Linked DNA regions of Arabidopsis thaliana. The protein of the gene in region 2 purifies or fractionates together with the protein of the main gene of each other region. This does not show direct contact. Each region holds a gene or a part of one and is shown on either strand. Other genes may lie near its edges. The genes, in order: PAF1 and AT1G24510.

Region 1 (3,928 bases), on a different chromosome or scaffold from region 2:
TGGTGCAGCCTCGGCAGCTTCGGCCTCACCCTCACCAGCCTCGCCTTCTCCTTCCTCTTCCTCTGGCACTTTCTCAAATGTGTCGATCACTTTCTGTATTGCTTCCTGGTCCAGGAAGTGGAACGGTTCATCGACTCCTAGAATAGCGACTGTGCAGAGAGAACTCTTCAGTGTTTCCCCTTGCAATGTCTCCCTAACAGCCAAAATAGCATCTTTGATCAGATCTTCTCTAGAAGAATCCCCAAAGCTCTCAAACCTGCGTTCCAGATAGGTCTTTGCTGCTTGGGAACGGGATCCAATAGCAAAAGCTTGGTACTCGAAGTAGTTTCCGCTGGGACAGTTGTAGTAAAGGTGGGCTCCAGACTCATCCAATCCACCTACCAGCAAACCAACACCATAGGGTCGTTTCCATGATCGTTGGGTACAGACCTGTTCATAAAGGCAAACATACACATAAATATTTCCTTTTCCAGATCAAGAAATATAACAAAAAAAACCCTTGGTAAAGACAAGAAATATGACAATAATGTAACTTAAGTTGGACCTGTCAAGTAAAATCTCTCCTACAAAAGAGTAAACCAACTAATAAAGTTTGACAATGAGGAAATACAAGACCCTTCCTTTTATAAACACATATAATATATGGGAGCTCTTCCCAATGGCTTTGAAAAGTATTTATGCAGATGTGGATAAAACAGCTAACTTAAGAAACCATTAGATAGGTGGAAAAACAAAGTGAGAAGTAGCACATAATTACAGAAAAGATGTCGAACAAGCACCTAGCAGGAGTAATTGACTGGTAAGATAAGTGCATAGTGGTGAGAACGATGCAAAACAAAGAGCGGAATTCACTTCTTAGAGGTACTGAAAATCAATAACTCCAAATAAAAACTGCAGAAACAAGCAAAAGCACCAGAAGAAACACAAATCTCTTTCTTTTAGAATCCTATTGTTAAGCTCTTAGTTATGGTTAAACTTTTAAATACAAGATTATGCAGCAGTAACAACAAACATGCAAACAATTTCACTAAACAAGATTCAAGTTTCTGCTATGATAAATTAAGAAAACTCTTATTTAATGCAATTTAGAATCCTAATCAGCTCAGATCAAACCCTAAGCACAAAGTCAAGAAGCTAATGGCTAAATTTGAGCTCAGTGATTCACAGTGTAATCGAATTCCAAATTCCTCAAATTTCAATTAACAATTACAACACACTTATCACCGAATCACACAAAACCAAGCGTAATCGATTCCAAATTCCACCAAATCTCAATCAACAAACTACAAAAGCCTAACCTGAGCTTTATCAGCAAGATGAACAACGAGACGACCAACAGGAAGAGGAGACTCATAAGTAAAAGAGTGATTAATCGATTCCGATCTCATATACCGAGACAATACACGACCGTCGGCTGTGAGACCAGCGATTGCAACACCGATATGGTCATCGACTTTAAAGATCTTCCTCTGATGCGAAGAAAGCTCCGATTGAGCTTTGTTAACACAAGCGAGAACGACATGAGAACGAGATCTGAGTCCAATTGCTGCAGATCCTTGCTTCACTGCTTCCATGGCGTATTCCACTTGGAATAAACGACCTGTTGGACTCCATGTCGTAACATCTGTGTCGTATTGGTTTCTGAACATCTTTGCTTCTTCGTCTCGCTTTCTTCTTCACTCGTCGTCGAAAGGGTTTATAGAGACGAAAGTTCAGAAACAAAACTTTTCTTTTCCTTCAAGCCATGGATGCTCTCGATCTCTCTCTCGATTTAATGGGCTTCTATTAAATTCTGGGCTTTGTATTGGCTCGGTATCTAGCTTATTGGGCTAAGACTTTAGGCATATGTTTTATACAGACTTTAGGCCTATGTTTTTATACAGGATAATCCTTGTATATTCTTTTTTTTTTTTTTGATGAAATGTGAAATTGTTTAAGAATCTTTAAATATGTACAAAAGAGTTTGGTCAATAGTTCTCAGTAAAAAAAAAAACATTAGACAAAACAGAGCACACTAGCTTGAATATTCTTGTATATTATTTGAAACTAAATAAAAATGAATTAATTTTATAAATATAAAACTTTGCGATTTTGTTATTAGTAATCATATAATTTGAATTGTTACAAAAAAAAAGTCTCTGTGATTGATCCTATTTAAAATTTTAGAACATTTATCATTTTTAAAATTGATATCTTAAAATTAATTTATTGTATATTTCTAAACTTTTATGACAGCTGAAAAGTCATACATTTTTAGTTTTGACGAATATAGTGATGAAGTAGATCATAACATGTGCTTGTACAACACTAATAGAATTTTGATTTTTAAATATTTATTTAAATTTGAATTATTATTTGTTTTATAATATAGTTTTAATCATTTTATACATAATATAGAAGTGGATTGGTAACGATTGTTATTTTCGACTATTATTATCAACTGTATGATAATTAATCGTTGAGTCTTTAAGAATATCGCGAAAGTTCATATTGTCTCATACAAGAAGATTAACAAAAGCATATTCAGTTTAGCTCAAGTTCCTTAAACTGGAATCACAGATGACTAGGGGATTGAATTTTGTAGCATCGATAAAAACTTAACTACTCAGATTTTTGTTGTAGCCACAAAATCAATCACCCAATGAGATCAAGTTCCTTTACCTCCACAAACAAAGCTCTACAACTAAGCTTTTGTATTGTTATAACGTAGTTTCTAGTCTATGTATGTTAGATCAAGTAAATAAATTCAGCACTTTTGTGGTTTTATCTCCCTAAGATCAGTTACTAGTTCATGACGCTAACTAGCTACATGCAATAAGAACAAACCTAGAACGAAAAACTTCTAAAAACAAGCTATTTTAAAATCGTCACTTACCTTATTCAATTATGAAATCTCCTTTGATGAAACTTTTAAACCCAACTAACAAACTAGTAATAATAATAAAAAATTAATTTAACTATTAAATCTAATTTGCCACTAAAAGAAAATTATGTATCGGTTTGAGTTTATTAGAAAAAATGAGAGTTTAGATTTTATGATTAAACGAGGTTAAATATCGGTTTGGGTTTACAAAATACGATTAGGGTTTAGATTTTATGATTATACGATGTTAAATATTAGTTTGGGCTTATAAACATATTTAGATTTTACAATTAAACTAGGTTAAATGTCGGTTTGGGTTTAGAAAATACGATTATGGTTTGTTTTTTAACGATTAAATAAGTCTAAATGGCGGTTTGGGTTTATAAAGGAGAATTAGGGCTTAGATTTGGTAATTAAACGAGATTATATATCGGTTTGGATTTACAAAAAAGTGGGGTTTTAATGATTTATTTTAATTATTTTATTTTGATAATATTAATTGTTTTAAGTTTTTTTAATCAAATAACATGGCAAATATTGATTTGTTATTAAAGAGGGGGTGAATAAATTAGGTTCACCCCCTAGAAGTGAACCCAAGAATTATTCTTTATTTGATATTTGATGATTTGTTTTCAAAATTTTAATTTATTTATTATATAGATTAGTTAAAGTTAGCATATACTATGATTTATAACGTTTTTATATGTTTTCACTTATAATTACTTTCTAGATTTGTTTTCAATTTTGTAAGTTTTCCTGATTCAAGCATCTAATGACAAAAAAAGCATCTAATTAATTACTAACTGATCTTTTTGCTCTCTTTTTTTGGTAAACACAAATTCAAGCATTAATTAGTTAATTACTAACTGATTTATTTCTATTTTTTTTTTATAATTAATGATATTTTTGTAAATATAAATGTATGCATTCAATTAATCTATATATATTGTTCTTTGTTCACAATACAATTACATCCATTACTTTTATTATAATTGTATCATCAAAGATGACTAAAAACACATCTCTTACAATTTTTATGGTTGTTTTGGTTATTGGTATGCTCTA
Region 2 (3,928 bases):
AACAATTGATTTGTTGCGGATGAGATTCCTAGCCACACACAGAGCATCGTGGATACTACGTTTCGTCTCTTCTATCATCATTTTGTTACCTAAACCATATTCCGCAACAAATCGTTGGATCAATCAGTTATACAATATCGTTGTCCACCATATACTTAGAAGGCATTAGATTCAGTACATCGATGTTTATCTCTCATCAGCTATTCAAAAGTCAAAACAGTGCTGCTAAAGTGCTAATAAGTACAAAAGACAAGGCGATTACCTCCACGGATGAAAACAGTGACAGCTTTTGAGTTCGCACAGTGCTCAATATACAGCATTCGTTCTTTTGTTGTGCCAAAAGATTTCTCACGAACCACGCCAGCCTAAATATATCAGGAAATGTTGGGTTTCAATGGTCTGTTTAAAATCTAATTAACATTTTACAAGCAAAACCTAGTGAAAGTAAAAAAAATACCTTCCCTAACTTCTCTGGGGTCAACTCCTGGAATCTTGGAACAATTCTACCGCCTACAAAAAGAAAAATTTCTGATCAGCTTTGCATAACTGATACAAACACTAGCATTAGATGCTTAAGAGTACTTTACTTACCTGTGGCTATTGCGATAAGTTCTAATTCAACACCCCCTACCCATCTGACAGCAGGCAAATTCCTGTGCATCAATAGATGGTTTGCCTCATCATCGAATCCCCATTGGCAAATAACCAGCGTAGCACCAACATCCTGCAAAGTTAAAATCATAAGGGTCATACATAAATCATATCATAAAATGCATTGTGGTACTAATGACCATTGTCAAAAGGATTTCTTCAGTAGCTTACTCAACATCCAACTGACAATATAAATTAATACAAATTAAAACCTACCTTGCACTTTTGTACCATCTCATCGAAATATTGCTGCTCTTGCTTGCGCAATGTCTCAAACTTTTCCACTGTATCAATGTCCACCTTATGCTTAGTCTTCGGCTTCGGTGGCTCAAAGGGACAAGTCAAAATGGCAATGTGGGCATCTTCAATCTGCTTTGGCATTTGCGGATGACTCATATCTTTGTCAATCAGTATTCCATAAATAAGCTCAGTGTCCTCCAACTTTCCCCCAACTTTCCCCTCTACTTTGATCAGATCTAAGTTAACATCCCTCCTCTCTAAATCAGCAACAGCAAGAACCGCTTTAACAGCAATCTCAGCTAAGCTGCGCTTGCATCGATTCACACTGTAACAATGAGCAAGAAAGAGTTAAGACAGTATACTATAAACCAAGTAAAAACAAGCAACAACTATTGAAAAGTAGCCTGAATATCAAAAAGGAACATTACATCTTCGAGGACAGAGTAGTCATGCAAGTCTGAACCAGAGGCTCATAATTATTAACATCGAATTCAAACTTTTGGGCAATACGCTCCAAATGCTCAACAGCCACCCTAGAAGCCATCTCATATCCTTCAGCAATACGAATGGGATGAATTCCTCTATCTAACTGACGTTCAGCTTGCTCAAGAAGTGCACCAGCCATAACAACAACACCTGTTGTTCCATCACCAATTTCATAATCCTGACTCCGCGACAGTTCCACCATTAGTTTCGCAATCTGGTTGTCAACATCCATTTGCTCCAATATCGTAGCACCATCGTTTGCTGCAAAAGCAAAACAAAGGCGAGGTTACAAACAATATACAAGTAGTAGTAGAGCTGAGCTAAGTTAACAGACATAGCGAATCGATTTTCAAAAAGTAGATGGATCTATTCATCAAACTACGGCATCAACATAGTAAACACTATGCCAAGTAAACAAGAGCGAAACTAGAAATTTAAAAGCAGATATGAAGAAATCAAAAGGAAGAAACGAACTGATGGTGATGTCTCCGTCAGGTCCTTGAAGCATCTTATCCATTCCTTTGGGTCCAAGAGAGGATCGAAGGATCCGAGCCACGGCTTTACCAGCGGCGATATTGGCTTTCTGAGCATCGATTCCTCTAAGACGAGTCTTTTGATCTTGCTCTCTCAGTATAATGAACGGACGCCCGAACTCATCGAACGCCAGCGCCATTTTCGAGCTTCTCTCGATCCGATCGAACTATAGATCTTGGGTTTTTTTTGTTTCCTAGTGCACTGGAGAGGAAAAAAAAAAGTTGAAATGGGGAAAAAAGCGAGAAGAAGAATGTCTGGAAGATTTGAGAGCTTAAAGTGGTCGAGTGTAAAACCCTAACTCGCTGTTGATGGCAGAATCGTAAATCGGAATTGATTCATGGGCCTAACAAGACGTTTGGGCTTATGGGTTTAAAGCCCATCTGATATAAGATGAATAGAATGTTCATGGCAATACTATCATAATTTGGTTCTTTAATAAGACACTCGTTAATACGACGATTTGAAGTTGAACGAATGGTTTCATATTCATTCGCATGTTCACCAATCAAAATCTATATCTGAACAAGTCCATTTTTAGGTACTCCAGTAGATTTACATTGGATTGTAAGGTAATCCTACATCTTAGTTCAAACGTTTTCTATTTTATTTTTGGTCTTGATCACAAAACACAACTATATATACATATCAAACTCATCTTCGGAAATCATCACAATCAATAAACCTCAAACCCTAAAATAAATTAAACGAGTTCTACGTAAGAAGGAGAGAGAGAAGAATGGGTCGCCAAAACATTGTCGTCGTGGTTGCCCTCGTCTTCATGGCCATCATTGGCCTTGCCGCAGCTGCCTCCTCTCCATCTCCTTCAGCGTCTCCCTCCAAAGCTCCAGCTGCCTCCAAAACCGATCATGTCGAGGCTCCAGTCACCGATGACCAAATCGGAACCACCGATGACGATGCAGCTCCTACTCCTGGTGACGGTGACGTTGCAGTGGCTGGTCCTCTAGGAAGTGACTCCTCGTACGACAATGCGCCTACAGGCTCTGCTGATTCTGCCAAAAGCGGTGCGGCAGCTCTTGGCGTCTCTGCGGTCGTCGTTGGTGTTACATCCATTGCTGGTTCTTTCTTGTTACTCTAAGTTGGGCATTGTTTTATGATAAGAAGGTTATTTTAAACGAAGATTATTTATATGTAAGGATGATTGTGATGATCTTGTTGTAATTTGTTTCTCCTTTGTTAGGAGAAACGTTGTCTTTGTAATAATACTGAAAAAAAAAACTTTTCACTAACGGTGTTTAGATACAAAATTCTGAATTGAATATAATAATATACGATTTCGGGGTCAAAAGCCATAATAATTAATTAAGTAAAATTGTAACCATCGTGTATAAATCTTAATCAAAATGCAAACAAAAAAAAAACAAGAAAAAAATATCCTAATCAAAATGCATATATTTATGCATTTAGGGACGTTAAGATTACTCAAACTCTCTATCACTAGAGGAGATGATACAAGATTTAAGACTAGCCTTTGCCAGAGAATCAGCCAAAGTGTTCTCGGATAGAAATACCAAATAAAAGAAAAGGACATATTTTTTAAACTCCAAATAATAACTCAAACTAATAGACTAGATTGAAAATAAGTTTTGTCTCCAGAGAAAGAAAATATATTACATTGGAATTTTAAAGGTGTGAATGTGATGAGGAGCCAATTTCATGGTTGGGTTTGGGGAGCTTCCACTATAGAAGCTCAGCGAGGGACCCATACAAGGAGTGAAGGAAGAGCCGTACGCGTAGTAGTGTATACGGGTTCGTATTGGTGTGTTGCACTTTTGGTCCTAAACTCAACTAATAATACCTATTTTCTTTTTCTTTTTCCTTTTTCTTTTTCGATCTCTTTCTTTCTTTAGGATCTCTTTAGTCTTATCTATCAAAATACCACTTCGTATTTGGGGTATTCCTATCAATAACCAACCATACAAAGCATCAATGCATCATTCTCATATTCATATATCATACTTGATAAAGAAAGTTCCATATTCACTGACTGTCCAGATAT

What was found.
Region 1: the proteins of AT1G24510 (region 2) and PAF1 fractionate together in Arabidopsis thaliana (co-fractionation; one large-scale study listed by BioGRID). This does not show direct contact.

Annotation. Positions count from the first base shown.
Region 1 is NC_003076.8:17,159,327-17,163,254, forward strand, and holds the start of PAF1 (proteasome alpha subunit F1), read right to left. Parts: upstream 1,831-3,928; 5' UTR 1,650-1,830; coding exon 1,299-1,649; intron 430-1,298; coding exon 1-429. Other genes in the region: LCR28 (low-molecular-weight cysteine-rich 28), read left to right, coding at 3,870-3,928.
Region 2 is NC_003070.9:8,686,052-8,689,979, forward strand, and holds the start of AT1G24510 (TCP-1/cpn60 chaperonin family protein), read right to left. Parts: upstream 2,196-3,928; 5' UTR 2,051-2,195; coding exon 1,852-2,050; exon of another isoform or gene 1,752-1,851; coding exon of another isoform or gene 1,712-1,751; exon of another isoform or gene 1,639-1,711; coding exon 1,320-1,638; intron 1,217-1,319; coding exon 868-1,216; intron 725-867; coding exon 592-724; intron 511-591; coding exon 458-510; intron 366-457; coding exon 263-365; intron 90-262; coding exon 1-89. Other genes in the region: BCP1 (homolog of Brassica campestris pollen protein 1), read left to right, coding at 2,648-3,007. UniProt on the Arabidopsis thaliana protein: Molecular chaperone; assists the folding of proteins upon ATP hydrolysis. Known to play a role, in vitro, in the folding of actin and tubulin.